Linked DNA regions of Mus musculus. The protein of the gene in region 1 purifies or fractionates together with the protein of each later gene. This does not show direct contact. Links are inferred from orthologs where the notes say so. Each region holds a gene or a part of one and is shown in the gene's direction. Other genes may lie near its edges.

Evidence for each region.
Region 2: the proteins of Cul5 (region 1) and Wsb1 purify together in Homo sapiens (affinity purification with mass spectrometry; 4 studies listed by BioGRID and IntAct, counting the BioPlex papers as one, with this or other methods). This does not show direct contact. The link is inferred for Mus musculus from reciprocal best matches to the Homo sapiens genes CUL5 and WSB1.
Region 3: the proteins of Cul5 (region 1) and Socs7 purify together in Homo sapiens (affinity purification with mass spectrometry; 4 studies listed by BioGRID and IntAct, counting the BioPlex papers as one, with this or other methods). This does not show direct contact. The link is inferred for Mus musculus from reciprocal best matches to the Homo sapiens genes CUL5 and SOCS7.
Region 4: the proteins of Cul5 (region 1) and Asb8 purify together in Homo sapiens (affinity purification with mass spectrometry; 3 studies listed by BioGRID and IntAct, counting the BioPlex papers as one, with this or other methods). This does not show direct contact. The link is inferred for Mus musculus from reciprocal best matches to the Homo sapiens genes CUL5 and ASB8.
Region 5: the proteins of Cul5 (region 1) and Asb2 purify together in Homo sapiens (affinity purification with western blotting; 5 studies listed by BioGRID and IntAct, counting the BioPlex papers as one, with this or other methods). This does not show direct contact. The link is inferred for Mus musculus from reciprocal best matches to the Homo sapiens genes CUL5 and ASB2.
Region 6: the proteins of Cul5 (region 1) and Pcmtd2 purify together in Homo sapiens (affinity purification with mass spectrometry; 4 studies listed by BioGRID and IntAct, counting the BioPlex papers as one, with this or other methods). This does not show direct contact. The link is inferred for Mus musculus from reciprocal best matches to the Homo sapiens genes CUL5 and PCMTD2.
Region 7: the proteins of Cul5 (region 1) and Asb3 purify together in Homo sapiens (affinity purification with mass spectrometry; 6 studies listed by BioGRID, counting the BioPlex papers as one). This does not show direct contact. The link is inferred for Mus musculus from reciprocal best matches to the Homo sapiens genes CUL5 and ASB3.

The regions. Positions count from the first base shown.
Region 1 is NC_000075.6:53,622,022-53,626,093, reverse strand, and holds part of Cul5 (cullin-5), read left to right. Parts: intron 1-99; coding exon 100-231; intron 232-1,812; coding exon 1,813-1,936; intron 1,937-2,283; coding exon 2,284-2,459; intron 2,460-3,150; coding exon 3,151-3,312; intron 3,313-4,072. UniProt on the Homo sapiens protein: Core component of multiple cullin-5-RING E3 ubiquitin-protein ligase complexes (ECS complexes, also named CRL5 complexes), which mediate the ubiquitination and subsequent proteasomal degradation of target proteins.
Region 2 is NC_000077.6:79,238,745-79,242,223, reverse strand, and holds the end of Wsb1 (WD repeat and SOCS box-containing protein 1), read left to right. Parts: exon of another isoform or gene 1-67; coding exon 68-240; intron 241-515; coding exon 516-629; intron 630-1,428; coding exon 1,429-1,536; intron 1,537-1,761; coding exon 1,762-1,921; 3' UTR 1,922-2,842; downstream 2,843-3,479. UniProt on the Homo sapiens protein: Probable substrate-recognition component of a SCF-like ECS (Elongin-Cullin-SOCS-box protein) E3 ubiquitin ligase complex which mediates the ubiquitination and subsequent proteasomal degradation of target proteins.
Region 3 is NC_000077.6:97,385,805-97,389,876, forward strand, and holds part of Socs7 (suppressor of cytokine signaling 7), read left to right. Parts: intron 1-3,307; coding exon 3,308-3,443; intron 3,444-3,761; coding exon 3,762-3,882; 3' UTR 3,883-3,912; intron 3,913-4,072. UniProt on the Homo sapiens protein: Substrate-recognition component of a cullin-5-RING E3 ubiquitin-protein ligase complex (ECS complex, also named CRL5 complex), which mediates the ubiquitination and subsequent proteasomal degradation of target proteins, such as DAB1 and IRS1.
Region 4 is NC_000081.6:98,135,347-98,139,418, reverse strand, and holds part of Asb8 (ankyrin repeat and SOCS box protein 8), read left to right. Parts: intron 1-2,980; coding exon 2,981-3,613; 3' UTR 3,614-4,072. UniProt on the Homo sapiens protein: May be a substrate-recognition component of a SCF-like ECS (Elongin-Cullin-SOCS-box protein) E3 ubiquitin-protein ligase complex which mediates the ubiquitination and subsequent proteasomal degradation of target proteins.
Region 5 is NC_000078.6:103,328,299-103,332,370, reverse strand, and holds part of Asb2 (ankyrin repeat and SOCS box protein 2), read left to right. Parts: intron 1-1,854; coding exon 1,855-2,026; intron 2,027-4,072. UniProt on the Homo sapiens protein: Substrate-recognition component of a SCF-like ECS (Elongin-Cullin-SOCS-box protein) E3 ubiquitin-protein ligase complex which mediates the ubiquitination and subsequent proteasomal degradation of target proteins.
Region 6 is NC_000068.7:181,836,252-181,841,123, forward strand, and holds the start of Pcmtd2 (protein-L-isoaspartate O-methyltransferase domain-containing protein 2), read left to right. Parts: upstream 1-1,602; 5' UTR 1,603-1,733; intron 1,734-1,957; exon of another isoform or gene 1,958-2,283; intron 2,284-4,872. UniProt on the Homo sapiens protein: May act as a substrate recognition component of an ECS (Elongin BC-CUL5-SOCS-box protein) E3 ubiquitin ligase complex which mediates the ubiquitination and subsequent proteasomal degradation of target proteins.
Region 7 is NC_000077.6:31,100,069-31,103,544, forward strand, and holds the end of Asb3 (ankyrin repeat and SOCS box protein 3), read left to right. Parts: intron 1-968; coding exon 969-1,174; 3' UTR 1,175-2,636; downstream 2,637-3,476. UniProt on the Homo sapiens protein: Probable substrate-recognition component of a SCF-like ECS (Elongin-Cullin-SOCS-box protein) E3 ubiquitin-protein ligase complex which mediates the ubiquitination and subsequent proteasomal degradation of target proteins. Recognizes TNFRSF1B.

The DNA.
Region 1 (4,072 bases):
GTAAATCTCTTCATCTTTGCTGTTGGGCATATAGAAAGGTCTACATGAAAGAAATGGCTGAGTATATAAGAATTGAAAGTAATTTTGTCTTCTGTGCAGCTCTTGGTACTTAAATATGTACAAAACAAAGATGTTTTTATGAGGTATCACAAAGCTCATCTTACCCGACGTCTCATATTGGACATCTCTGCTGATAGTGAGATTGAAGAAAACATGGTAGAGTGGCTAAGAGTAAGTACAACAATTTTTAAAAATTTTATTGGTGGTGTTTAATAGGCGCCTCACTGTTTTGTCTACATGTTAGTGCATGTAGAAGAGAAAACAGCTAGAGAGGTGCAAGTGTCTTATTAAATAGAATTGCTAGTGTGGGGAGGCCTCAGAGGCTATTCCAGAGAGATGTGGACAGCCCACAAGAGTGTAGTAGGGAGTTAAGGTGGAGGGAAAAAGCAGCTGAGAGAATCAAATTTGGCGGGTGGCAGAAGCCAGCAGAAACAAATGGCCCATACATTCCTTAGGACAGTCAGCTCAGCAGCTTGGATAGGAGCTGCGGAGTTCCTTGGGAAGGGAACTCATTTAAGTCACTGCCTTGGTTTCTACAAAAGATGAATGGAGAAAAAAAAGGGAGAAAGAAAGAAAAAGAAAGGGATGTGACTGATGCTGTAGGTGTGGTGGAGGTGAAAGCTTATTGTAAGCAAAAGGAGACACAGCAAGAGGCAGACACAGCTGGGAGAGTCCAGGGTGGTCATGACCCTGAGCCATGAGAGGAGAGAGAAAGGTGAAGGGAGAGACTGGAGCCAGATTTAGCAGCCAGGAGGCCAGAGGTACAGAATGGGGGAGGATAACCAAAATGTCTGGAATAGGGGGCTGAGGGATGCCAGGAGAACTCAGAGGCCAAGTCTGTTTGATATGTTAATATGCATCTCAGATATGTTAAATCGGCATCTTGGGTGACTGTTTTGGATTTGAAATTTAACAGATTCCTACCTTGGTGTAGGAATTGAATGCAGATGATGAGTTGTTTCAACAAGCACCTTTACCTGATGAGCCATCTCATTTGCCTAAAGTGTTTTTTTTTATGTTCCTGTTATTGATACAGCATATTATTCATGTGCATGCTAAAGTAATTGTTTTAGAATTGCTATTAATGTCAGACAGATTCATTTTATAAGAATATATAATAAAATATATAAATAGTAGTATCTAATAACGTGAATTTTCTTAATTTTAATCTTGCTTTCTTTTTACTGTTGTACTTTCATTTCCACTCTCAATTTTAACTGATTTTACTTAAGTAGTATCCAAGACAAAACAGCAACTTTTTAAAACCATGTCTGGTAAGAAATGCTTAACTATAGACATATTTGTAAATAAATAGTAACCGATGTAATTTTTTAAGAGGCTGGAGTGGTAGTTCCTAACTGTAAATAAAGGAAGTGTAGAGGCTTAGAGGATCATCTTCCTCGAATTTGTCAAGGCCATCCTGATGAATGGGTTTAGTTAGTGACCATGTACAAAGACCCTTAGCATGCTATGACTGAGCTATACCAGTGACAGCCTTCTGTCATTTGTCCTGACCGTATGGATTGAGGAGTTAAAGGTGTAGGTTGCAGTCCATGCAAACACATTTATCTTACATAGTGTCAACAGTAGTTGGAGTGGGAGTTGATTTTATTCACACTGTGGTAACTGAAATCCATGCACACTGGAATTGAACAGAGCAAAGAGTACCAAAAACTACTGTTTATTTAATACGAATCATGTAATAGTATTTATTACACTATATATAATTATTATCTGTCTTTATTTTCATAGGAAGTTGGTATGCCAGCAGATTATGTGAACAAGCTTGCTAGAATGTTTCAGGACATAAAAGTATCTGAAGACTTGAACCAAGCTTTTAAGGAAATGCACAAAAATAATAAGTTGGCATTACCAGGTATTATTTATAATTACATATAAGTATATATTTAAGCTTAAAAAATCTTTCTTTTTCTTTTAACAAAATCTTTCTTTTTTTTTTTGAAGATTTATTTATTTATTATATGTAAGTACACCATAGCCGTCTTCAGACACTCCAGAAGACGGAGTCAGATCTTGTTACGGATGGTTGTGAGCCACCATGTGGTTGCTGGAATTTGAACTCCTGACCTTTAGAAGAGCAGTCGGTGCTCTTACCCACTGAGCCATCTCACCAGCCCCCAACAAAATCTTTCTTAAACAAGATTTTTCACCAAATTTTAACTTGTCTCAAAAAGTTATGATTTCTGGTTTTCTTACCTGCAGCTGATTCCGTTAATATAAAGATTTTGAATGCTGGTGCTTGGTCTAGAAGCTCCGAGAAAGTCTTTGTCTCACTTCCTACTGAACTGGAGGATTTGATACCTGAAGTAGAAGAATTTTACAAAAAAAATCACAGTGGTAGAAAATTACACTGGCACCATCTCATGTCAAATGGAATTGTAAGTAGATGGGCTGTCAGTTTGGGTGTTAGTAGAAAGTGTTACTTAAGAGCTGGAGAGATGTTTCCGTGGTTACGAACTCTGCTTTTCCAGAAGATCTGGATTCAATTCCAGGCAACCACATAGCAGCTCACATATTCATAACTTCAATCCCAAATAGATTTGATGCCCTCTTCTGGCCTCTATAGGCATTTGTGGTGCATAGGCATTTATGCAAACAAAACACCCACACATGTAAAATAAAGTAAAAACAAAACAAAAAGCTAAGAACAAGAACAGTGGCTGTGTTTTCAGGACTGTAGTTTTCATCATTGTGTTGCTTACCAAACAGACCTCTTGACTGTAGAATCCAGTCTGATCCCCAAACAACCCTCTCTGTCTCCCTGCAAAAAGGAGGGCAAGAAGGGAGAAGAACCTTCTTTTAAGGCAACCTATAAGCATTCTCCTCACCATTTCTACTTCAAACACATTGGACAGAATGAAGTCACATGAGTGACCACATTGAGCTGCAGGGAAATCTGGGCGATGCATTGTATGTGTGCTAAGATTATTACCTCTGAGTAAGGAAGAATGGGTCTTGGGGAAAACTAGCAATCTCATTTTCCCATAGTATCTTATGTGCATTTACTAGGTATTGGAGTAAGCTTCATGAAGAAATGAGTTACTTATTAAAGCCCATTATCTATTACAGATAACATTTAAAAATGAAGTAGGTCAGTATGATTTGGAAGTAACCACGTTTCAGTTGGCTGTGTTGTTTGCATGGAACCAAAGGCCTAGAGAGAAAATCAGCTTTGAAAATCTAAAACTTGCAACGGAACTCCCAGATGCTGAACTTAGAAGGACTTTATGGGTTTGTTTTATTTTCTGTTTGGCTTTGTTTTTAAAATAGCATTGTGTCACATAGCTGGGATGGCTTCTAAAATTGGATTTTTGGTGCTGAGAGTTAAATCTCTGGCCTTGTACATGTTAGGCATACATTCTACCACTGAACTACATAACTAAGCTACTGTAAAATTTTTAAATTCATGACACTCGAAATATGACTTTCAACACAAAATGCACAATATTGAGGAATTTATAAAAAACAATATGAAAAGAGGCTAATTGCCAAAGTGGAAAACGAAAGAGGATGAGAAGAGGGAGAGACTGAGCTGGTGTTAAATGTGTTTAAGGAGTTCTAACAAAGACACACTACAGTTAAGTTTATAATCAGTGAGTTAGTTCTTCTCAGTTTATAAACTGTGCTAATGCTTTCTTGATTATAACTGCATTTAGTTCTGACTCTGTAATATGAACTCCAGAATAAACTGTTTCCACCGGACAGAACTTCCTACATATTACTGGCAGGTAGTTTACTGTAGTACTGTGTATCAGTCCTAATTGCTTGTGTCACTCACTATATATGTAGTAAGAGAACATTTATTGCTTTCTCTGAGCCAGCTCTTTCCTTTCCGCTCTTATCATGCGTTTACATTGTCATATGCTTGAAGGTACTGCATAAACGTTTGGATTGTGATTTGGTACATTTGTACATACACAATTTACTGCATGAGTTTGAGCTGTAGATTGTCTAGAAGTCATTCTTGCCTGTGTGGGAGAGTTGAGCTATC
Region 2 (3,479 bases), on another chromosome or scaffold:
TTAAGATGTGCCCCTTTGTCCTCTGTGTGTCTGAGTGAAACTATAACATTTCCCTCTTTTATTTCAGGTTTTCCTTTGGAATATGGATAAATACACCATGATTAGGAAGCTGGAAGGTCATCACCATGATGTTGTAGCTTGTGACTTTTCTCCTGATGGAGCATTGCTAGCTACTGCATCCTATGACACTCGTGTGTATGTCTGGGATCCACACAATGGAGACCTTCTGATGGAGTTTGGGTGAGTACCACATGAATTATTTCAGTTAGTAACCCAACATTGGCTTTCAGTATATATAGATTTGAAGAATTTGTATAAAGTTAGAATCCCTAACAAAAATGTAAAATGAACAGCTCTCTGTTTCATTGAATTCGGCTGTAACAGTTCTCTTCAGTCTTAGTTGTATCATCAAAGCCCCACTTTAAACCTTATTCAGAGGCCAGTGAACTCGGTACCAGGGCTATTTTGTTTCTTGAATTGATTCTGAAACTTTGCAAATGTGTCTCTGACCCCAGGCACCTGTTTCCCTCGCCCACTCCAATATTTGCTGGAGGAGCAAATGACCGATGGGTGAGAGCTGTGTCTTTCAGTCATGATGGACTGCATGTTGCCAGCCTTGCTGATGATAAGTGAGTATTATGGAGTATAATATAGTTTTGTCTGTAGTCGTGATTTTTAATGAAAGTGTGCTTTAACTCATAACACACTCATAAGCTTGATTTAGGTTTTTGTACAGGAGTTGTTTGTATTTGAAATGGTTTTGGTATATGGGCCAGATTGATCTTGAACTAAAGATCCTTTTACCTCTGCCTCCTGAATGCTGAGAATTCTATGTGAACCACCATGCCCATCCTGTCTTTCTAGACAACACTTTGGAAGGTGTTGTTTTTTTGCTTAACTGGCTGTGGTGATACACCTGTAAATTGATGGCCACTGCTTTTGAGATTAGACAAATGTAGAAAGGAGTAAATCAGATTGTGTTATATTTTATTTGTAAGAAAATGACAAAGCTTCCAGTTGTGAACATTACAGGTTCAAAGCCATGCCTTGTAATCTCTTTGGAGTTTATCCAAATTACCAAATGATAATAAAATGTAAACTAGTCTGTATAGATATATAAAGCACGATAGTATAGAATGCCTGTAATTGCAGCATTTGGGAAGCTTCTAGCTTGAACTGTGTAGTGAGACCCAACCTCAAACAAAACAAACATATTAACTAGGTGGAGAAGACAGACCTGTAATCCCAGCCCTTTGGGCAGTAAAAGCAAGTTCAAGAATTTGATGCTGGCCCGGATTGTGTGCATATGAGCCCATCTCAACCAAAGTTACCATGCTGTTTGAGTGACTCGTGCGTATGCATGCTGTGATCAGAACACAGGACAGGAGCATTGCTTTCTGACTTACTCATTCTGGATTTCCCTTCCAGAATGGTGAGGTTCTGGAGAATCGATGAGGATTGTCCGGTACAAGTTGCACCTTTGAGCAATGGTCTTTGCTGTGCCTTTTCTACTGATGGCAGTGTTTTAGCTGCTGGGTAAATACATTTTTCTTGTTTCTTTTTCTTTTGAAAACTTATTTTTCTTTTATGTATGATTCTGTAAATTTCCTAGACAAACTCTTTATATAATCCTGCTACTTGCCTTGCCTTGGAGTTCTTATTAGAGTCTAAGGTGAGATGTATGGATCTGATCTACAGCTGTAGGGACATAGGACAAGTGTAGTTGTGTAACCATGATTTTGTTTTTCCATTTCTCTGAAGGACACATGATGGAAGTGTGTATTTTTGGGCCACTCCAAGGCAAGTCCCTAGCCTTCAACATATATGTCGCATGTCAATCCGAAGAGTGATGTCCACCCAAGAAGTCCAAAAACTGCCTGTTCCTTCCAAAATATTGGCGTTTCTCTCCTACCGCGGTTAGACTGAAGACTGCCTTTCCTGGTAGGCCTGCCAGACAGAGCGCCCTTTACAAGACACACCTCAAGCTTTACCAGCTCAAGCGTCTGTCCTTGGAGGCTCAGCAGATTTATTTAATTGGAATCCACTCTTATTCTTCATTTCATTAGTTGGACTTTTAAAGCATTATTTATACACCATAGAAATATTTCTGAACATATCATGTAATTTTTTTAAGATAACTGTGAAAACATTACATACATGTATATATTTAGACATGAGCTGCTGCTATATATTGAATGGGCCCTTTAGTTTTCTCTTAGTTCTGACCTGTATATATTGCTTTAATAGAGCCACGATTTGTATATGTGCTGTTCATTAGAGCAAATTCAGGGGAATTTTTGTTCTTTTTTTTTTTATTTGGGGGCACTAAGTTTAGATGAGATGAATTGCCTCATAGGAAATGGAATTGGTCAGGATAGATGGTGTGAAACTGATAAGAGGTTTTGGATGTGAAAAAGAGTTTCCAAAAGAATGGTGTCTGGGAGTTTGAATGTGATGATTAAAAAAAGAGCCAAGGAAAAAGGTAGCTAGAAAAAAAGGTTGGCTCTCATCAGCCTTAATTTTGGAAAGCAGCTACTTACCCCTCAGAGAATAAAGTATTATGCATTCTTGTCAATTTGAAAACTACATCTACTGTATTATTGCTGAATATTTTGTTAATACTAAGGGACAATTATTTTAAGACCATGGGTTTTGTTTTTAACATATTTTATTTCTGCAGAGGATATTGGTAACTTACCAAAGAGAAGCAATACACAGTATGTCTGCTTTAGCCTTCTTTTATTTATCTCATCTGCAGATGTTGAGAATGTATGCATTATGTAAAATGCTTGTTTTTTTATCCCTGTTGAGTTTTTTTAATTAAACGACACAAAACTACTACATTGCCGATATTTCTTTCATGGGTTGCATTGTGTAGTCCTTTTGTCTAGCTGTACTGTAAGGTTGCTGGTGGGTCCACAGATGCTCAGTGCAGAAGGCAGTGAGGAAGGATGGAAGCATGTACAGGAAGCATCACTTTGTGCGAGCATGTGTGCGGTGTGTTCCACCACCGTGTCCTGGGTGCTGCCATAGCACCCACACAGTGTTCCTCCTCAGGCACACTTAATGCTGTAGAGCAAAGAACAGCAGAGCAAAAGAAGACCTCAGAGCAGTGGACCGCCTCAAAGTAAGCCGGCCTGGTTAGTGATAGAGGCTGATAGTCTGGGTCCTCAAGAAGGCACTCTTAGCCATGTATGATCTAAAGGCTATGACCATCCACTGAGTATTGATACGTTCATGTTGGCCAAGTATATGGAAGTAGTTAGGGAAGCCAGAAAAGACTACCAAGTGCTTCCTCATGGCAGCAGCTATATTATACAAAAAACAGAGGCATCTCTAACCTTAGGGGTTACCCCCCATTTAACTTGTATACTATAATTTTAAAAATAAGATTTAAAACTTTCTAAAATTGTCAAATTTTAAATATACAAAAAATAGGATTTTAAAATTATAAAAATAATCTCTATGAATATTTACTT
Region 3 (4,072 bases), on another chromosome or scaffold:
AAGACAACTACAGTGTACTTAAATATAATATTTAATAAATATAATAAAATAAATAAAATCTTAAAAATCTCTCTCTCTCTCTCTCTCTCTCTCTCTCTCTCTCTCTCTCTCTGTGTGTTAGTGTGTGTGTGTCTGTGTAGGTCTTTCTACAGCCCTGGCTTTCCTAGAACTCACTAGGCCAGGTTGGCCTCTCAAACTCAGAGATTCACCAGCCTCTGTGCCCCCCCACTCCCAACCCACCCTGTCCCCAATTTTGCTACTAAAGGCATGTACCACTGCACCCAACTTTAAATCTCTCTTTAATTTAAAAAAAAATTTAAATTTTTTTCTTTAGATTTATTTCATTTGTATCAGTGTTTACCTGAATGGGTCTTCCTGCCTCAGCTAAAAATCATCAAGGGTACTCTACACAGCCATGCTCACAGCATCCACGGTGATTATAGATCTGTTAAATGGCCGTGCTAACTATCACAACTCCACCTCTTGCCCCTTAGAGGCTCATGACCATGTTAATAATGTATATTATATATTCCAACTGACTTTAACGATCCCCATTGTCTTTAACAATTTCATCTTTTTTGTTTTTCCAAGACAGAGTTTCTCTGTGTATCCCTGGCTGTCCTGAAGCTCACTCTGTAGACCAGACTGGCCTTGAACTCAGAGACATCCACTGCCTCTGTGAGTGCTGGGCTTAAAGGCGGGTGCCACTGCCCAGCCAATTTCATCTTCTTTTTAATTAAAAAAATTGTGTTTATTTATTTGTGTATATGTATATACATTTGTGTGCCTAGTGCTCATGAACCATCAGAGGACAGCTTACTGGAGTTGGGTCTTTCCTCTATCTACCATATGGGCTCTGGAGATTGAATTCAGGCTGCCGGGCTTGAATTCAGTGTCTTTACCCACTGAGCCACCTTGCCGACCCATCACCAGTTTTTTAAAAAAGTCCAAGGTCTATTTTTTTTTTTTTTTTTTTTTTGGTTTATCGAGACAGGGTTTCTCTGTGTAGCTCTGGCTGTCCTGGAACTCACTTTATAGACCAGGCTAGCCTCGAACTCAGAAATTAACCTGCCTCTGCCTCCCAAGTGCTGGGATTAAAGGCGTGTACCACCACTGCCAGGCCAAGTCCAAGGTCTTAACTGTGAGTTCCTATAGAATCAAACACTTCCGGCTTTCCAGGGTTCCGGGGGTTTGAGAGCCTGGATTCTCTGTTAAAATGAATCTAGGTCTTCACACACAAGATGGACCTCTAAGGGCAGAGCTTTCCTTCGGGACGCCTTCCTGTTGTGTTAGTGAAGATAGGCACTCTCCCTTCAGTGGTGCTGGTCTCTAACAATTACAACTGCTTTCTCAGGATTAGCCTGAGCACTCTCTGGTTTTGAAATTTCCTTTGCCAAACAAATTAGTCCATTAGCTTTCCTCTGTCTCAGGTTCTCAAGCTGTAAACAGAATGAAGGCACATTCTTGGCTAAAATCGTACATTAGTGGCCTCTAGCGCAATTCCTGATAGAATCCTTGTTCCCCCTGGACCCTCATGAGGGAACACGTCAGCAACCATGACATGGCTTTGGAGACAATCTACAGCCTTCACTTCCTTTTTTCCTCAGGCCTTCAATCAAAAAATTTTAAAGCTGTTTGAAATTAAACCCCAGTAATTGTAGAATTTTATTTTCTAACCATTTGTGTTTGTAGTATTTCTTTGGATATGACAGTGGCTAAGAAAATAATTCCTAGCTGGGTGTGGTGTCACACACTTCTAGTCCTTGCACTCAGGAGGCAAAAGCAGGTGGGTCTCTGAGTTCAAGGCCAGCCTAGAGCCTGGTCTACAGAACAGGTTCCAGGGCAGCCAGGACTACACAGAAAAATCCTATCTTGAAAAACCAAATGTGAGTGTACTATCACTGTCTTCAGACACTCCAGAAGAGGGTATTAGATCTCATTACAGATGGTTGTGAGCCACCTTGTGGTTGCTGAAAATTGAACTCAGGACCTCTGGAAGAGCAGTCAGCGCTCTTAACCTCTGAGCCATCTCTCCAGTCCACTTCTCAATCTTTAGTTTGCTTCTCTTAATCTTCATAGTCCCATTGCTATGGAAACCAGAACATTGTTAGTTCATTTGAATGTTTTAGTCCCTGATGTCCTTGTCCTTGGTGGCTGGGTTCTGTGGCATTGACTGTGGGGGTTGGGCTTCCCCAGCACAGGAGCTCTGACCCATGTAGGAGTGTTTGCTTGGAGCCTGGCAGGTACACAGGACAGGCACCTGAGCACTGTTGCATGAGGCCCAGCTTGTGCAGCTGCAGTAGCTGTCTTTCAGAAGCATTGGTGTTGTTCCTGTAACCCAGCCTAAGCTCCAGTAGGAGAGGGAGAATAGCGAGGGAAGAAAAGTACCAAGCTGGCCTGGCCTGGCCTGGCCTGAGTAGACAGTTGCAGGAGTGGCAGCCTGGATACCAGCTCCACCTGCCCCCTTCCTGCTCACTAGTTGGAATGCTGTGGGGCCTTTGAGCTGAAATATTCTGTACCAAAACCTCCACAGAAAGGACTGGCCTCTCAACATGTGACCCTTTCTGGCCATAAAGGCTATTCAAACCACTGTACCTCTGAATATCCTGAGCTCTGATCTTTAAGATACTGCTAAATAGTGCTGCACAAGTATCCCCGTTCCCAACAGGGAGGCTCTGGGTTGTCCTTCCCTGAGAACCTCACGCTTGGACTTGGTCCCTTGGCTCCAAGCAGGCTCTATCGTGGTCTTGTTCATTGGGCTATTTTCCACAATTAAGAGTGATTCTGGGCCCAGCAGTGGTGGCGCACGCCTTTAATCCCAGCACTTGGGAGGCAGAGGCAGGTGGATTTCTGAGTCCGAGGCCAGTCTGGTCTACAAAGTGAGTTCCAGGACAGCCAGGACTACACAGAGAAACCCTGTTTTGAAAAAAAAAAAAAAAAGAAGAAGAAGAAGAAGGAGAAGAAGAAGAAGAAGAAGAAGGAGAGTGATTCTGGAACCCAAGTATTGGGACTTACATCTATGGTCCCAGTACTCAGGAGGCTAAGACAGGAGGATTGCTTTAGGTTGAGGCTAGCCTGTCAATAAACCAAAATGTTGCTGGGGAGGTAATCAGAGGACAGGAAATTCCCTTGAATGGTAATGGTGCTCTCACAGATGGCTCTCAACAGCCCTTTGTAAGGGGCTTTAACACAGAGTATATACATGAACTCTAAAATAGCCCTGTGACATCTTCCCCACAGCACTTCTTCTGGGAGCTGTAGTTAGCTTCGTTATTCTGAGTATCTTCCTTTGGTTTTATTCTTGAAGGACTGCCACCAACTCCAGTACAGCTGCTCTATCCAGTGTCCAGATTCAGCAATGTCAAGTCCCTCCAGCATCTTTGCAGATTCCGGATCCGGCAGCTTGTCCGAATAGACCATATTCCGGATCTGCCACTGCCTAAGTACAATGGGGTTGTCAGGGTTTGGGGTGGGGAGGGAGTGAACTAGAAGTGGAAGTGCCTTTGACGCTTGCAAGCTGCTCCTGGAGGCCAAGCCTGACGTAAAGCGTTTGTAGGCAGTGTTCTTTCGATTCTTAGCACTTAACTCTAGAGCTGTGACATTGCAGCAAAGGGAGCAAGATGTGTGTGTCATACAATATGAAGAAATGGAGAAGGGAGGAGGGCTCAGCAAGAGATGTATTCTTAAAGGAAACAGCAGTCATAGTTTCTGAGAAATGTCCCTGTAAATGGTACCCTCTCTGTCTCCTTGTTTTTCCACAGACCTCTGATCTCTTACATTCGAAAGTTCTACTACTATGATCCTCAGGAAGAGGTGTACCTGTCCCTAAAGGAAGCGCAGCTCATTTCCAAACAGAAACAAGAGGTGGAGCCTTCCACGTAGCAGCAAGGACCCCTGCTGTTGAACATGAAGGTAGGAACACCCTGTCTCTTTCTTTGCCAAGCCTAGGCACTAGGTTACTTCCTGGCCCACAAATTTGTCTGATAATTGATTCTCTGATAGGTACATCATTTCATTTGAAGAAAAACACAACAGTCATGAAGGCCCTAAACCAGTGGTTCTCAACCTAATG
Region 4 (4,072 bases), on another chromosome or scaffold:
AAGGTTTAGTGTGTGGCCTAGAGATTGATGATAATTTGGTGAAGACTGTGGCCGCTTTTGCCCTTGTCTGGAAGAGTCTGTCTGAGGCTAAAGTGGAGAGATTTATATTAATTGAATTAGCAAACAAGCTTTCAGAACAGCCTAACCTCATCATGGAAGCGTGTGGCTCGGTCCTCTGAAGAACATTTTCATGAAATGTAGCAAGCTTAGAAAGGAAAAAAAGAAAATGTGTAGTTTGAGGATTAGAAGGACACCAGGAAGTGGGATGGAGCTAAATCTTGTGTTCAAGGAGATTAATAGGTTAAAGATATCAAATGGAATTAAGGGAGTGGTGACCTTGGGACAAGATCCCACAAAACTCAACTTCATCCTGTGAAAAGGAAAAGCTTATAGAAATCCCAACACCACTGGAGACAGAGGCCAGCAGATCTCCGAGTTCAAGGTCAGTCTACAGAGCCAGGGTCAGTCCAGGACAGCCAAGCTGAAGGAGCTAGAAAAGAGAAAGCTGGTGAGAATGTAACAGGAAAAGGGGGTCGTGTTCCAGCCCCCAGCAAAGCAGCAGAACTCGGCAGCTTTGGCAATGTGGCTCTGGGTTTAGAGTCAAGAGTAGAAGGGGTTACTGGGGCAGCTGATGCTGGTTAGCTAGAAGTAAGAGATTAGTGGTGATAAAGAGACCAGCATCTCTGAGGTGAAATTATTTTAACGATCTATTTATTTATGTATATGAGTCCACTGTAGCTGTACAGATGGTTGTGTACCTTCATCTGGTTGTTGGGAATTGAATTTAGGACCTCTGCTTACACTGACCAACCCTGCACGCTCAGTCTCTGCTCGCTCTGCCCAAAGATTGATTTATTATTATAACTAAGTGCACTGGCCGGGCAGTGGTGACGCACGCCTTTAATCCCAGCACTTGGGAGGCAGAGGCAGGCGGATTTCTGAGTTCGAGGCCAGCCTGATCTACAGAGTGAATTCCAGGACAGCCAGGGCTACACAGAGAAACCCTGTCTTAAAAAAAATTAACTAAATAACTAACTAAATACACTGTAGTTGTCTTTAGACACACCAGAAGAGGGTGTCAGATCTCATTACAGATGGTTGTGAGTCACCATGTGGTTGCTGGGAATTGAACTCAGGACCTTTGGAAGAGCAGTCAGTGCTCTTACCTGCTGAGCCATCTCTCCAGCCCAAGGTGACATCTTCTGGGAAGTGTTTTCTGAGAGCACAGAGACTGTGTTCCAGAGATAGCCAAGGTTGCACCTCGTGCTGCAGCTGGACTTGGTGATGTGTAAGAGTCACCCAGGTAGTACTGGTCTTGAAGGCATGAAGGGGTCATGAAGAGCAGCTGAGGCTTAGCACTGTGAGAGGCCATGGAAGGCCATGTGTGAAGGTGCAGCCTCTGTTGTACTTTACGGCCTATGGCTGAAGGGGTCATACAAAGGAGTTGAGGCTTGGCACTATGAAGAGAGCCTATGAGAGGCTATTGGTAAAGTCTAGTTGAAGCAGAAGACCCCAGTATGTTGTAGATGCCAGTACCATGGGATGATCACCAAGAGTGGCGGCAGCAGTGGAGTGGCTCAGCCCGAGCCTAGAGTGCTACAGGGGGCAGAGCTGGATGAGTGACCCGAGCCCAGATCACGTGTGGGTCCCAAACATAGGAACAAGAAGCTGTAAAGTCGAAGTTCCTTTGGAGACCCCAAGGTGTTAGAGATGCCAGAGCCATGGGCTATCTGCTGAGGAGAGCTGCTAACAGGGAGTGGAAGCAGCCCAAGAAAAAGAGCTGTGTTGCAATCAACAAAGCTGAAAGAAGATGGAGAGGCAGTTTGGTGTTTGGTCGTGCTTTGGTCCTGTATTTCCTCACTATAACGTTTGGAATGGTAATGTATATCCTGTGATGTCAGAAGTATGTGATAGGCTTTTGATTTTGATATTAGAGAGGATTACAGTTAAGAGATTGCATGAATCTCAGAACATACTTTGAATTTTAGACTTCTAATTTTAAACATTGCTGAGACTGTGATAGACTATGGGGACTTTTGAAGTTGGGGTAAATGCATATTGCATTGTGTTATGGGTACAAGCCTATATGGGGGCCAGGGAATGGAATGTGGTAGCTTGAATAGGTTTGGCCCCCTTAGATGCATGCATCTGGATGCTTGACTCAGAGAGAGCAGCATTATTAGGAGGTGTGGCCTTGTTGGAGGAAGTCCATCTCTGTGTGGGTGGGCTTTGAGGTTCCATAAATGTTCAAACTGTTTAGTATAAAGCACAGCAGGCTCCTCCTTCTGCCTGCGCATCAAGATGGAGAACTCACAGCTCCTTCCCCAGCACCACGAGCACCGTGTCTGCCTGGACATCGCCGTGCTTCCACCATCCGTGCAACGGACTGAAGCTCTGACGGCTGTGAAGGAGTTTCCTTGGTCATGGTGTCTCGTCTCAGCCATGGAAACCCAAACTAAGACACAGGGTGTGAAGAGCATCTTAGGCCCTCTGTAAACTAGGACTTTGAGATGATAGTTTGAGTGAGGCAGCAGCTATCCCAGCACTGCAAGTTTGTGCTCTTCCTGCCAGTGAGGTTATCTGAGTCTCTGTAGGGTTAAAAGCACAACAAAGTGAAAGAACTGAGTTCTGTCATCATTATTTTTCCTCCTGGTTTCCATTAATCACACGATAAGTGTCAGGGTAAAATAATGCTGTATTTCTCTCAGCAGTAGTGCAGACTTGGACTTCATCCTTCCCTCCTTCTTCCCTGCCCAGGGCAGCAATGCTCATAAGCAGAGAGGTGGGCACTGGTTAGCCTGATAGCTGTCTGAGGTCAGACAGTTTTCTACGTCCCTCATCCCATCTTGCTCATCACTTCCCACATTGTTGAGAGCATTGCATGACAAAGGCAGTGGGAGAATAAGCAGAGGACTCTCTGACAGCCTCTTCCTTCTCCCAGTGCCCTGCCCAGTGTAAAATAGTTCCTTCCTCTCTGCAGGTCAATGCCCTGGATGGTTACAACCGAACGGCCCTCCACTATGCAGCAGAGAAAGATGAGGCTTGTGTGGAGGTCCTACTGGAGTATGGGGCAAACCCCAATGCACTGGACGGCAACAGAGACACCCCGCTTCATTGGGCAGCCTTTAAGAACAATGCTGAGTGTGTGCGGGCTCTCCTGGAGAGCGGGGCCTCCGTCAATGCCCTGGATTACAACAACGATACGCCGCTCAGCTGGGCTGCCATGAAGGGAAATCTTGAGAGTGTCAGCATCCTTCTTGATTATGGTGCTGAGGTCAGAGTCATCAACTTAAAAGGCCAGACACCCATCTCCCGCCTGGTGGCTCTGCTAGTGAGAGGACTTGGAACAGAAAAAGAAGACTCCTGCTTTGAGCTCCTCCATAGAGCTGTTGGACAGTTTGAATTAAGGAAAAACGGCATCATGCCCCGAGAAGTGACCAAAGACCAGCAGCTGTGTGAAAAACTGACTGTGTTGTGCTCAGCACCAGGGACGCTTAAAACCCTCGCCCGCTATGCTGTGCGCCGTAGCCTCGGTCTCCAGTACCTGCCCGACGCAGTGAAGGGTCTCCCACTGCCAGTGTCTTTGAAGGACTACCTGTTACTCTTGGAGTAGCTTGGAGGAGGCATTGCTGCCGTCATGCGGACGGCTTTGGGTGAGGCTTCCTTGCCATCCTGTCTCTTTGTTGTCAACACAGAAAAGAAGGTGTTCCTGCTGTGTGGTTTATAGATTTGAGGCAACACATAACAGTGACTTATGCATCGCCTCCCCTCCCATCCCAAGCAACCAAACCAAAACCATTTACCTCACTTGTTTGCCGTGTTATTGCTTAGTTGCTTTTTTATATTCAGCCCTGCAAAAGAAGTCTTCCCCGGATCCCTTAGGCACTTCAGTCACCAGTGTAACCCATTTCCTAGGAAGATGTCACGTTCTCAGAGTGCACAGTTCCCTTTGGGGCCGTGCTGTAGCACGGTGACAGAGTTCCTTCTGAAAAGTTCTAGTTGATATGACAGCTAACAAATGAACCCCCAGTTAACAAGAATTATGCTCCAAGGATGAGTGCTTGAACTTCAG
Region 5 (4,072 bases), on another chromosome or scaffold:
TCTGCCTCTCAGCCTAGGAGATGGACCCTGGGCCTGACTAAGGCTCTTAGCCAGGGATGACTGCAATGAACACTCTGACAACTCAGTGGAGTCCTGGAGCCCAGGCCAGCAAGCTGTGCTGAGGGCAAGGGTGCAGTGGGTGAGGGGGACCTCCTCTCCAGGCAGTCGCCCTCTTCCCTGCCGATATTGAGGCAGGGACTGCTCCCTTCATGGGGAGTTAAAGCCAGTTCCTATACAAATATTTTCCTTATGTGAGCAGGCTGCTTTGCTCAAGCCTAGGCCTGCGGGGGAGCCTAAGCATGAGGCCCAGGGGCTTGTTAAAGGTGTCCCTATACTGTTCCTCTGAGGGAAGGGACAGTCTCTGCCCTGAGCTCTGTCTAGACAGCAGTGGCTTCTGAGGCTGGTGCTATGTTTCTGTTATGTTATTTACACCTCACCCTAAACAGGAGAGGGCAGGACTATGACTCTTGACTAACAAGCAGGTAAACTGAGGCTTCTAAAAGCTGTCTAAGGCCCCAGAGCTTGGGAGTCATGGTACAGAAACTTTCATGGTCCTGATGAGCCCTCAAGGCCTGGTGCTCTTCTCAGAAGGCCAGGACAAGTCCTCCGCTGCTGAAAATGAAGTCATCGGAAAGGGTGAGAGGAGCAGATGGCTCTGACAGAGGAGCTGTGGCTGACACAAGCCTTTGATCTCAGCCTTTACTGAGCTATCTCAGCTAATCTTCGTCTACAGTGTGGAGCCTACAGAGAAATCATGTGCACACCGGTTTGCTCTCTCACTCCAAGAGATGCAGAAGATGTAAAAGATAAGATGATGGCAGGAAGCTGCTACCAGGCTTCAGCCCCCTTCCTACAAGCATGGCTCAGTGTTTAGTTTCTTTTTTAAATTTATTTTCATGATTTTTTTAAAGTGTGTGTGTGTGTGTGTGTGTGTGTATGGGTGTTTGTGTGTGTGTGTGTGTGTGTGTGTGTGATGTATAACTACCCACAGATATCAGATCTCCTGGAGCTGGAGTTACAGGTAGTTGTGAGCCACTGTGGGTACTGGGAACTGAAGCCCGTGTCCTCTGTAAGATGTGTACATGGTCCTCACCAGTTAGCCATTTCTCCAGTCCCTCCATGGTTCCTTAAGAAGATAGCAGAAGCCAGTTCTTTCCTATTTCAGATGGAGAACAAAACAAGCCCAGGACTGGGGTTGTGGCTCAGTTGGTAGTGCTTGCTTATCCTATACAAAGCTTTGGGTCCAATCTCCAGCACTCTAGAGTTAGAGGCAGGAGGTTCAAAAGTTCAAGGCCATCCTTGGCTACATATGGAATTCAAGGCGAGCCTGGGCTACATAAGATGATGCCTCAGACCAACCAACCAACCAACCAACCAACCAACCACAACCAACCACAACCATCAACCCCAAATCCAACTAACAGTCAGTAGGATTTCCTTTAAGGAGCTTTGTACCTAGCTGGAGCTGCTGCTGCTGCCAGGGCACACAGCCTAGGGCCCGTAGTGAGGGCTGAAAGCCTAGTCTAGAATACATCTTCCGACCATACATTCAAGTGTAGCTTCACATCTATGAGTGGGTTATCCTGAGTCCTCTCATGTCCTGTGTCCTGGTCTGTGATGAAAAACTTGGCCTCTCAGGACTCCATATGGATTCAGAGAAACAGGGTAGACGAGGTTTTGTGACAAGGAACTTACCTTAGCTCTGACGTCTGATGGGTCCTCCTGGATTCAGGCAGTAGGCATGGCCCAGCCTACTCACCCAGTGGTTAGCTTGGAGGTGCTCACCACACAGTGGCACTAAATTATGGCAGAACCACTGATCGTTCATGGCTCTGCTTGCTTCTCCCTCTCCAGGTGCAGACATCAACACGCAGGCCAGTGACAGTGCATCAGCCCTCTACGAGGCCAGCAAGAATGAGCATGAAGACGTGGTAGAGTTTCTTCTCTCTCAGGGCGCCGATGCTAACAAAGCCAACAAGGACGGCCTGCTCCCCCTGCATGTTGCCTCCAAGAAGGGCAACTATAGGTCAGTCCATAGCCCTTACTGTGTATAGCACAGCTCTCCGGGGATGCCTAAGGAGGGCAGGGGCGGGGCAGGGCACTTGATCTCCATGGCCCCTGAGAGGACTCTTTCTTTGTTTGCTTGTTTGGTTTGGTTTGTTTTTCGGTGGGGTGGGAGGATGCAGAGATAACCTGCAGGTCAGCTAGCTGTTTGCTGAGGATGCTCACAGCAACGGACAGGGACCAGTCACCGGGTACCTCCCTAAACATCATGCTCGGGTGGGAGAAGCTCAACTTCTCCAGAAGCAGTCTGTGGGAGGGAAATCTCTCCCCCCACAAACACAGAGATGAACAGTCCACACGCATTCATGATGTGATGAAAGATCATCCAGACCTAAGCTCCATGCTGGCCCCCGTAGAAGGGACCTGGCAAGGGCTGGAGCAGAGCGCACTGGAGGCTGCCTGTCTGGGCTCATGTGTCCACTGCAGCCCCGCCCCCCAGGAACATGTTCACTCACATGTAGCACAACACTGACCATGGTGGGAGCTTGTACACCATGGAGTGAGCTTTTCTCTGGCACCTCCAACACCCCACTCATCTGAGAGCCAATTGCTAGGAATTTAGCACCTATACACTGTGGGTGGGAAAGGGTGATTGGGTGGGGTGGTCAGGGGGATGCTGGTTGTCCTTGCAGATGGACACTGGTCATTTCTAAAGTGTGGACTCACTGCCGAGCTGTGGGACAGCCCCTTTTATAGAAGAAGAAACTGACCAGGTAGCTAAGAGCCTCGTGCCTCAGTGGGACCATCCCCATGCCTAGGATATCCTCTACTGGTAGGGCAGTTCCCAGTCACAGACCCTGGCAAGCTTTCTTTTGATTTTAGACAACTTTCACTAGTTTTAAAATATCCTTTTCCTTAAAATCGTTTTCAAAGGAAACATTCACCACAGTGGTATAGTGAGACAGTAATTCACAGTTACTAGAAAAGCCATGCCGTGTGCCCTGGGTGCCACACTGGGGGGTGCTCTAACTTCTCAGACTCTCAGAAGAAAGAGAACAGATTATGTTTGGCACTGTCAGTGAGGCAGGGGATGGATAGGGGAAGAGAAATAGCCACTGAAAATGAACCAAAGGCCCCAAAGGTTCCTACACTGTCCCCCAGAGCCCCAGACCTTCCTGTACATGCATACAACTGCTTTCCTGAGGGTTTCCCAGCGAAGGGTTAAAGTTGGATTCCCAGCAGCCCCTGCCACCTGGCTGGGCCACTGTTCTCTGCTCACACCCTGGGCATGTGGCATCAGAGGCCCTCCCCATGCTGGCCTCCCACAGGCTGAGAAGGGATTTGATGTGACATTCCATAGGCATTCAGCCACCTGCCAAAACACCCTGCCTACCCCTGGCCCGGAGCAAAACGCCTGGAGCCTGAGGCCATTTGCCAGATGTGCCTGCTCTTCAGCACACTGGGTGGGGTGTGTTGGGGCATGGCTGATAGAGGAACCTAGCATCCCCATTCCTTAGGCACATTTACTGTCATCCATTTCCAGTGTCTTATAGCAGAGCAGGTAGATTTCCAAAGACCCTGTGAGCAGGAAAAGAATTTGGCCAAGGACCCTTGAAGGCAGGGGCTCCTGACCTTGGCTGTACAGCCCGGATTCAGGCCCCACCTTAGATAATGGCACTGGGCTGGCCTGGGGCGGGGTGCCAGGATTTCCACATGGGGCTTGAATGAGTTCCAGGAACTTAGCACCTCTCTATTGGCCAAGGGTCAGGCCACCATGACCTGTTGACTAAGGTCTCCTCTAGCTTGGTGCAGCAGGACAGGGCCTGCTGTCAATGCTTAGGACGCAGACTTCTAACTGCCTTCTAACAGCCTACTGTGTGCCGATCCAACAAAAGTGGGAGGTGTTAGCCTCAAAACCAGGCTTGGCAAAAGAGACGGCAGGGTTCTGTTTTGCCACGTGGTGCAAGTTCCCCCTCGCTGGGATGTATGAAGAATACATGAAGCAAGAGGCTCAGATTGTGGGGTCACTTTTGAATTAAAGGGTGACTGTGAAGAGCACTTTAAAGGA
Region 6 (4,872 bases), on another chromosome or scaffold:
CCTATTACACTGCCAAAGTATGACCTTAATCTCCTGGTCCTTCTTCCTCCACCACTAAGTGCTGGCATTACACTTGTTTGCTGTCACATCTTCTAAGACGTTGCTTAGTTCAGTAGCAAACTGACAAACTATTTTCCAGAGTATCTTTATTATTGCTCATTCCCACCAGCAATGAAAGTGATGTGCTGCTGTTGCTCTACATCCTCACCAGTATTTGGTGAATTATAGATTTTATAAATTTTGGCTATTCTAATAGGTGTGTATTGATATCTCATTGTTTTATAAATCTGCATCACCTAATGACAAATTATGTTGATATGTTCATATGCTCATTTGCCATCTGTATATTTCCTTTGCTGAGTCATATGTTCATAGCTTTTTCCCGTTTCTATTTGTGCTGTTTATTTTCTTATTGTTGAGTTTTAAGGATTTTTAGAAATCCTTTATCAGATATGTGTTTTGGGAATATTGTTTTTCAGTCTATGTCTTACCTTTTTATTCTTCTGACAGTATATTTTACAGAGAAATGATGCCAGTGTTAAAAAGATATATTTTACCTTTAAGTGTGTGTGTGTGTGTGTGTGTGTGTGTGTGTGTGTGCACATGCCTGAGTGCCTGCAAAGGCCAAGTGTCTTGGGTACTGGAAATCAAATTTGGAAGAGCTATGTCTCTATTATTTTTACACGTGGATGTCTAATTATTCCAGCATCTTTTGTTGAAAAGACCAGCACTCCTCCATTGAATTGTATTTGTTCTCTTATCAAAGGTGAGTTTACTATATTTGTATAGCTCTAACCTAAGTTTTGTATTTGATAGCATCAATTTATTTCCCCCATATGACTCTTGATTACTGTAATTTTAATAGTAAGTCATGAAATCAGATGTTGTTAGGCCTATACTTTTGTTTTGTTTTGTTTTTGATCAATATTGTGTTATCTAGTTCGGGTCTTTAGCCTTCCCACGCAAACTTTAAAAAATAGTAGAATCATTTTCTCCTCATTCGTACCACAATCAACTGCAGGTTGAGTGACTTTCTTACAGCTATTGACTCAGGCGTCCAGACTCCTTCCTTCTTGACACTACTTCCTTCAACATGTACCCTCCAAGCAGTATAGAGGAGATGTGCAATCCCAATGAAATAGAACAAAAACTCAGAACAATCTTGAAAGGTAGCCCTAAAGATCACTTAGACTTTGGTCTATTTTGTAGGTTTCTTAGAAGTGGCCAGAACTGCTGGTTCAAGGTTCAAGTGTGCAGATGGCCATCCCCTGGACCAGGTAGCCTGGCAGGGTCAGGGCCGGCAGTCATTTGTGTTGTAACTCCTGCAGGAGAGTGGACCCAATCTATCACTCTTGTTTCTTAACTCCTGCCTTTTCTACTGTGGGGGCTTTGTCCTTGAGTGGACATAAGCAGGCAAAATGCCCTTCTCCCGTCGACACGCCAGCATCTTCTCATATCATTAGGCCGGGATATGCTCGGAGACCACCTAGTGACTGACCAATCAGGCAGGGACACACTTAACTCAAACCAGTGGGTGGAAAGTGGCAGGCTCGTGGGCTGTGCCGTTGCCCCTTTAAGAGTGTCCTCCAACCGCACATGCTCAGTTCAGGTAGAGCCCGCGCACGCGCAGAGGTAGCAGCGGATGTTTACAGCGGCTGAGGTCCGTCCGAAGCGACAGAAGCGTCTGAAGAACTGCTCTCCGAGACTCAATACGGGGGCTGCTGAGCGCCGAGGTAGAGCCGTCTCTGCCCCTCGGCCCTTCCCTCCATATCCCTTCTCCAGCTCTGGTTACCCGTTCCCCAGCGTCCGTGTATCTTACCATCTCCGAGAGTTTCGAACCCCAGCGCCTGTCACCCCCGCCCCCCCATCTCCCTGCCCAGCACCTCCCTCCCCTCCAGCGTGCCCCCCCACCCCCCGCCTGTTGCTAATTCTGGGATCTGATTGCTCTAGTTCTACAACCTATTTCTAATTAAGTAGGAAATGTTTGCAATTAGCTCAAGGGCAAGTCGGGCATTGACCATGATTGAAACAAATTATACCTAGGGTGGATATTGGGAAGAAGGCAGAGTATCCTACAGAGGAGAAAAAAAAGACCCCTTTGGGGAAAGATCTAAAGTAGCTGGAGAGAACCCCTGGGGCCTGGACCCTTTGTTTCTTTATTAGGCCTGTGCCTCTGCCATCAACTCCGTCATCTTGAGTATCTGCCCTCTGCTCTCTTGGGCCCTGCACTGTTGTTCTCTGTTCTTATTGAAGACATTGCTAAAGTGGGCTCCATTACGTCTGGTAGGTTGTCTCTAGAACGAGGTATTTAAGAGGCTCAGCACTGATTATATATAAAGGGAATTGAAGTGGGCCCTCTTGAGGTGGTGGCATTTGGTCTCTCCTTTTGCCCTGGCTTTTCTCCATCCTCCTCTGAGACCTTGCTGGGAGACTTGGGAGAAGGGACTCATTTTTCTTTTTTTCTTTTCTTTTCTTTTTTTTTTTAATTTCGGTTAGTCCCAAAGCTTTTCCACGCACGAAACAGTAGGAATTGTCCCTAGTCAGTACATACTACTGGTCAGCTTTCATTCAGATGCAGACCACAAGTGATATGCATTTGAGGCACACCCTCCAAGAGTTCTGGTTTTCAAGACAAGAAGCCTTGGCTATTTTCCTCGTTCTGCTGGCAGGATGATGGTTTAGAATACATGTTCCTAGCAAGGTATCCCCTAAGAAAGTGACATCCACTTGACTGTGGGCCAGCTGTCGCAGTTTTTTCAAACGCAGTATAGATATGAAACAGGGTTCTTTAGTCCAGCTTCACTTGTGTTGTTGTTGTCCACTTGGGGTCCTGTGCTGCTCAGTTTTTTTCCTATGCCCTTTTCTTCTGTTGGCCTGTGCTAATCAGTTCTGAATGGGAACTGTAATAAGCATTACAGCAAGTAGCAAAGTGTGTATCGTAGGGTAGTAAAGGAAGGACAATCTCCTAAAAAATAGTTCTTTGCTTTCAGTTGGAATCTACTGCACTGCATTCTTGTGCAGTGATACTGTTTGGTTTGGAGAGAGTATTTTCAAGTATGTTTTAGGGCTTTCTTTCTTTCTTTTGACATGGTGACTGATCACATCTATCTCAGCAGCAAGTAGTGATGCTTCTATGCAAGGCAATATTAGATTGTCAGACAAAGCTAATACTAAGTACCACACTCTATCATTATTCACCCACTCTCCACCAAAAGCAATTGATAGGGCTACCTTGGTGTTCTGTGTAGTCTAGAGAATGATCTACAATAGTCACACTTTCTGTTTTAAATGAGTGAATTTATTAAGTATATATAGCAAGCAAAAGTAAAAGAACTAGTTAGTAACAGAAGTAGTTGATAGAAAACATCAAGTTGAGTATTCACTTTAGTAGGGATGACTGGGATAGCACAGTTGAGAGACCAAACAAAAGGTAACAGCAGAAATCATCTGCGAAAATTCCATTTGAAGCAGCCATTTGAAATTCCTGATAGAGAACCCAAGTGAAGCTTCCAAGTTAAGAAAAATAGATAGATAGATAGTAGATAGATAACATCATCAAGTTGGGCACTTACAGTCATCTAGTAGAAATCAACTGGAGAAGTTGAGGCTGTCGGTTGGAGTTACCAATTGAACTTTCTTTTCTCTCCATGTTTGAGATTGCCATGGCTGAACTTCTGGTTTCTTGTTTCTACCAAGGCATTTTTATACCATGCAATAAACAGTCTTGTAAATGGCTAGTCTTTTAGCTATTCTCAAGGACAAATTGTTTTACTCTTGCGCTGTTTTGTTCTTCCTTTCACCCATCATAGAATTAGGTACCCACCAAGCTCCAGGAAGAGGTACTTTGGAGAACATTTGGAGACTACTAGAAACAAACATACTGGCGTTGGTACAGGAGAGTCCTCACTCTCATCATCCACTTTCAACAGACTTAAACAGCATATGACAGTTTACCAACACAATGCACATTATACTTGATTATCAAAGTATTAACAAGAAGTTAACAAAGAATGGTGTTCTTTTGTGAGTCTTTAACACCTGTATCCATATTGTGTACAAAACAAAAGCCTTTGGCTAAACAGTGCTGGTTTTACCACAGCTCCTCTGGCAGTCTGTGACTGTGAGCAGTTTAGTAACTCAGACCAGCTTGCCTTACCTTCTGATGTTCAATGTAGTGCTGTCTGGTAGGTAGTAGCTATAAAAACAGGTGGCTGATTTTTATTATTATTATTATTACTGGAATTCTTTTAATGTGGAATTAGCTTTTACTTCAGTAAAAAAATTCAGTAACATAAATGTCTAGTACAAATGAAATATATCTAATGTGGTACCTGCTGAAGATTAATTTATAGAACTGGGATAGGGTGAAGAGGATGGCTTTCTTGATTATGTAGGACATGTGTTAAAGGTTTTTTCCTAAACTGAGCTGTAAGCATATAAATACATTACTCTATTTTCAACTGGTGTCCCAAATTTTAATATGACTATTTTAGATCAGTAGTGTAGCAATAGAACTAAGTGGCTTATCTAAGATTAAGCCCAAGCTTATTAGCACTAGGGACTAGTTACAACTTAGGGCAAGGGCTCTGAATTCACTTGAAAAGTAGATTAAATTTTAATAATTGAACTGTGATTTGAAAATCTAATATTTTTCTTGACTATGAAGATGGATTATTTCATCATAAAATGGAAAAGAATTTATATCAAGAAAGTTTTTTTTTTTTTTAAGATGCTAGAGTGGTAGTTGATTTTCATTTCTAGGCTTAATTCTCTAGCACTGCTGTTACCAGTTGTGCACATGGGTGTGTCTAGGGATGGGTGTGTCTAGGCCCTGTCTCCAGTATTCCAGAGAGAAGACTGGGAACAGGGACC
Region 7 (3,476 bases), on another chromosome or scaffold:
ATATGTGGTGGGTGTGTAGCATAGAGAACACTCAGTGAATGTTCTGTTTCTGTGCCGATTTTGAAATTTCTTTCTTAAAAAAAGTATTTTTTTTAATTTTCTGGATTTTTTTTATGCATGTATTTCTGTGTATCACATGCATGCCTGGTGCCTATTAAAGTCAGAAGAGGGTAGTGGATCCCCTGAAACTGGAGTTATAGGCAGTTGTGAGCCACCATGTAGATGCTACAATTTGAGCCTGGGTCCTTTGGAAGAACAGCTAATGTTATTAACTTCTGAGCCATCTTCACAGACCTTGAAACTTTATTTTCTGTCATAGATGCAAAGAGGAAATGGTCAGGCTGCACATCCCTCGGTTTCATGTGTTACGTTCAGAACCTTTGGTAGTAAAACAGACTAAGAGGGAAATAGCAATTTCTACTTAGGGTTTTCTTAAGTGTTAGCTTGTGTTGTCAGATTATTAAAATTTAAAGACTTATTTTTTCTGTCTCTGGATGCTGACTTGAGTATGTGACCAATTGAAGTGAGATCAAGCAAGTGGAAAAAGTACATACACGTTTCATGTAGTCATGCTGAACCAGTAGTCTTCTTTCAAAATGAGCTAAGCAACGTAGTGTTTCTTTTTTATTGTATAAAATGGGCTGGATGCTTATCTTAATGTATTGCTTGTGTGTATGTGTATGTTTTGTAAGTATTCATGATAGTGTGTACATGTTGGGGGCCACAGGAGGATGTTAGTATATCACTTGCCTTGATACAGGGTCTCTCATTGGATCTGGAGGTAGCCAGCAAGCTACACTGATGCTCCTGTTTTTGTCTGGGTAAGAGGTGCTGGCCGCCACTGTGGCTTTTCCATTGTTTCTGAAGTTCAAACTCAGGTCGTCATGCTTTCACAACAAGAGCTATTACTTTTCCAACCATTTATTCAGTCCACTGTTAGTGAAAATTATGTTTGTTTGTTTCTCCAGCCTCTGTTCCAAGCCTAACCCATCTTTGTCGTTTGGAAATTCGGGCCAGTCTAAAAGCAGAGCACCTTCACTCTGACATTTTCATCCATCAGTTGCCACTTCCCAGAAGTCTGCAGAACTATTTGCTCTATGAAGAGGTTTTAAGAATGAATGAGATTCTAGAACCAGCAGCTAATCAGGATGGAGAAACCAGCAAGGCCACCTGACACAGGTCCTTTAATTCTGTTTAGTCACAAAAGACGGCTTGTGTGACTGTTTGGATTTGGTGATCAAATGTCCATGTTTACAGTTGCTTTTCCCAGTTTGTGTCTTTCCCAATATTGTGAACCTTATCCATCTTGCCTTACTCAGTTTTATTTCTAGTGCACTTTGTTGTGTATTATTTGTTTACCTGACCATTTTCTACTTTATTCTGCTAATAAACTGTAATTCTGATGTGGTGCTGGATGTGACTTCTTTCTACTTAGGATTCATGTTCACCTGTGCTAGAATCTAAGGATAGAATCCATAAATTTCCCCAGAAGAATTTATAACATCTGTCCTTTTGAATTATATTTCATTATTATTTTACTTAGGGATGAATATCTTCAATGTTTATTAAGAGGAAACTTTCCTCCATGTTATAATCTGTTCTCAGTCCTTAATTCAAACATTTTTGTGAGGTGTTGATACTCTTGCATTTTCACATGTAAAATCAGGAGTCCTTTAAAAAAAAAAAAAAGAACATAAAAAGTCAGTCATATTGTTGATCTCTCGCCCCCTAGGTTCATTCTTTCTTTATACTTTTGGCAAAAGATACCTGATTTTTAGTTTGCAAAGACAAGAACACATCTAAACTCAAAGTCATACACAGCATAAACTATTTTATGTCATCTTTAGAAGTATTTTACTGCACTTAGAATATTAATAAAGAAACCTGAAAAGGACATTCATACAGCACTATCTATAGGGAAAGAATGCACACTTTATTAATTTAATGCTAAATATAATAGCCAGGCTTCATTCAGCTCCAGAATAAGAGAGCAGCTTTGTTCCTGTTAGTCACCAATAGTCAATTATATCACATCAATATAATGTTTTTCTTAATGTCTGGATGTATTTTCAGATCGTGGATGAAATATGGACCTCAGAATACTACTGCCTTGTGAATTTTTACAACTATTTTATTTAAACCTCGAGTCAAGAAAAATCAAACATGATCAAATCAGTTATTTAGGGAATTGGAAACTAGCCTTAAGAAGGTACTAGAGTGTTGCTGTCAATATAGACAGAACAGGCTGGTTTCTAAAGGAGGCAAGCCTTCATCTCTTGCCAGCAACCTGAGACTGGGTAGATCAGCTGGTCGCATTTTGATAAGCCCTTGAAAGAAGCATAATGTCTTACTGATAACTGATTGGGAAGACAAGCTCATCTTTACATTCAAGTCTTGTTTTGTGAGGATATAAAGTTAGGTATTGAAAAGTAGGCAGAAATTCTGATAGTTCTGGTTAATAAAGATATTCCAAACTTTTAAAATTTTATTTTTAAAATAATGTGACTTTTATTTTTCAAACTCTGTATCAGGTTTTGTTTTTGCTTATGGCCAAGTGTATATAGAGTGCTTTAAAAGAGTTTACCTTTTAATGTATTTTGTTCATGTCCAAATGTATTATAAAACCCTGATTTCCCATAAGTTATTATTGTGGTTTTCTTTTTGAAGCTCTGAAAGTCAATACAGATAGCCCCTGGCTGATGAGTTTTTGACTTTATAGTAGTGGAAAGGTGACCAGCATCTCATAGAAACTGCACTTTGAAGCTTGATCGTCTCCTAAGGCAGCAATACATAGTATGAGATTCTCTTGGATTCTGATGATGCTGAGCAGTGATAATGAGTTGTGACACCTGGCCAGCCATGTGACTGGAGGGTGACTGTAGAGGGCATTAGTACTCATAGTTAAGTACTGGAGAAACCAAGAACATTAAACACATTGGCTTATATCTTCAGTGGGTGGATGTGTATACCTGTTTTTCCAGGCACATGTAATTGTGTCAGGAGTTACATGTGGGTAAAACTGATACCAGGAGGTCCATTACTTAGGTCTTCATGGGACTTGAAGCAGTTATTTGAAAACTCCTGCATTCTGATGAGAGCCAGTGGGGGCCTCAGGCATCTCAGGAACACATTCCCTTTGGGAGGAGGCAGTGTTTCTTAGTTAAATATGGTCATATTTGACAACTTGCACACACTAGCATAGTAATTTTATAATCATGCTATTTCCATTTTTCTTGCCTTTTAAAAAGAAATTTCTAAACAAACAACTACAAGGAAAACTTAGTAACTCTGACATTACAGGTTTGGTTTTTTGTTTTGTTTTGTTTTTTTGGTTTGTTTTCTCTCTTTTGTTCTCACCTACAAGGCCCAATTGCTGGGTTTTTGTTTTCAATCTATCATTTTTACTGCTTTATTAAATGACAAATGATTGTTGGTGCATAATGTCTTGCAGCAAATAAACAATTATTTTGTCCAAT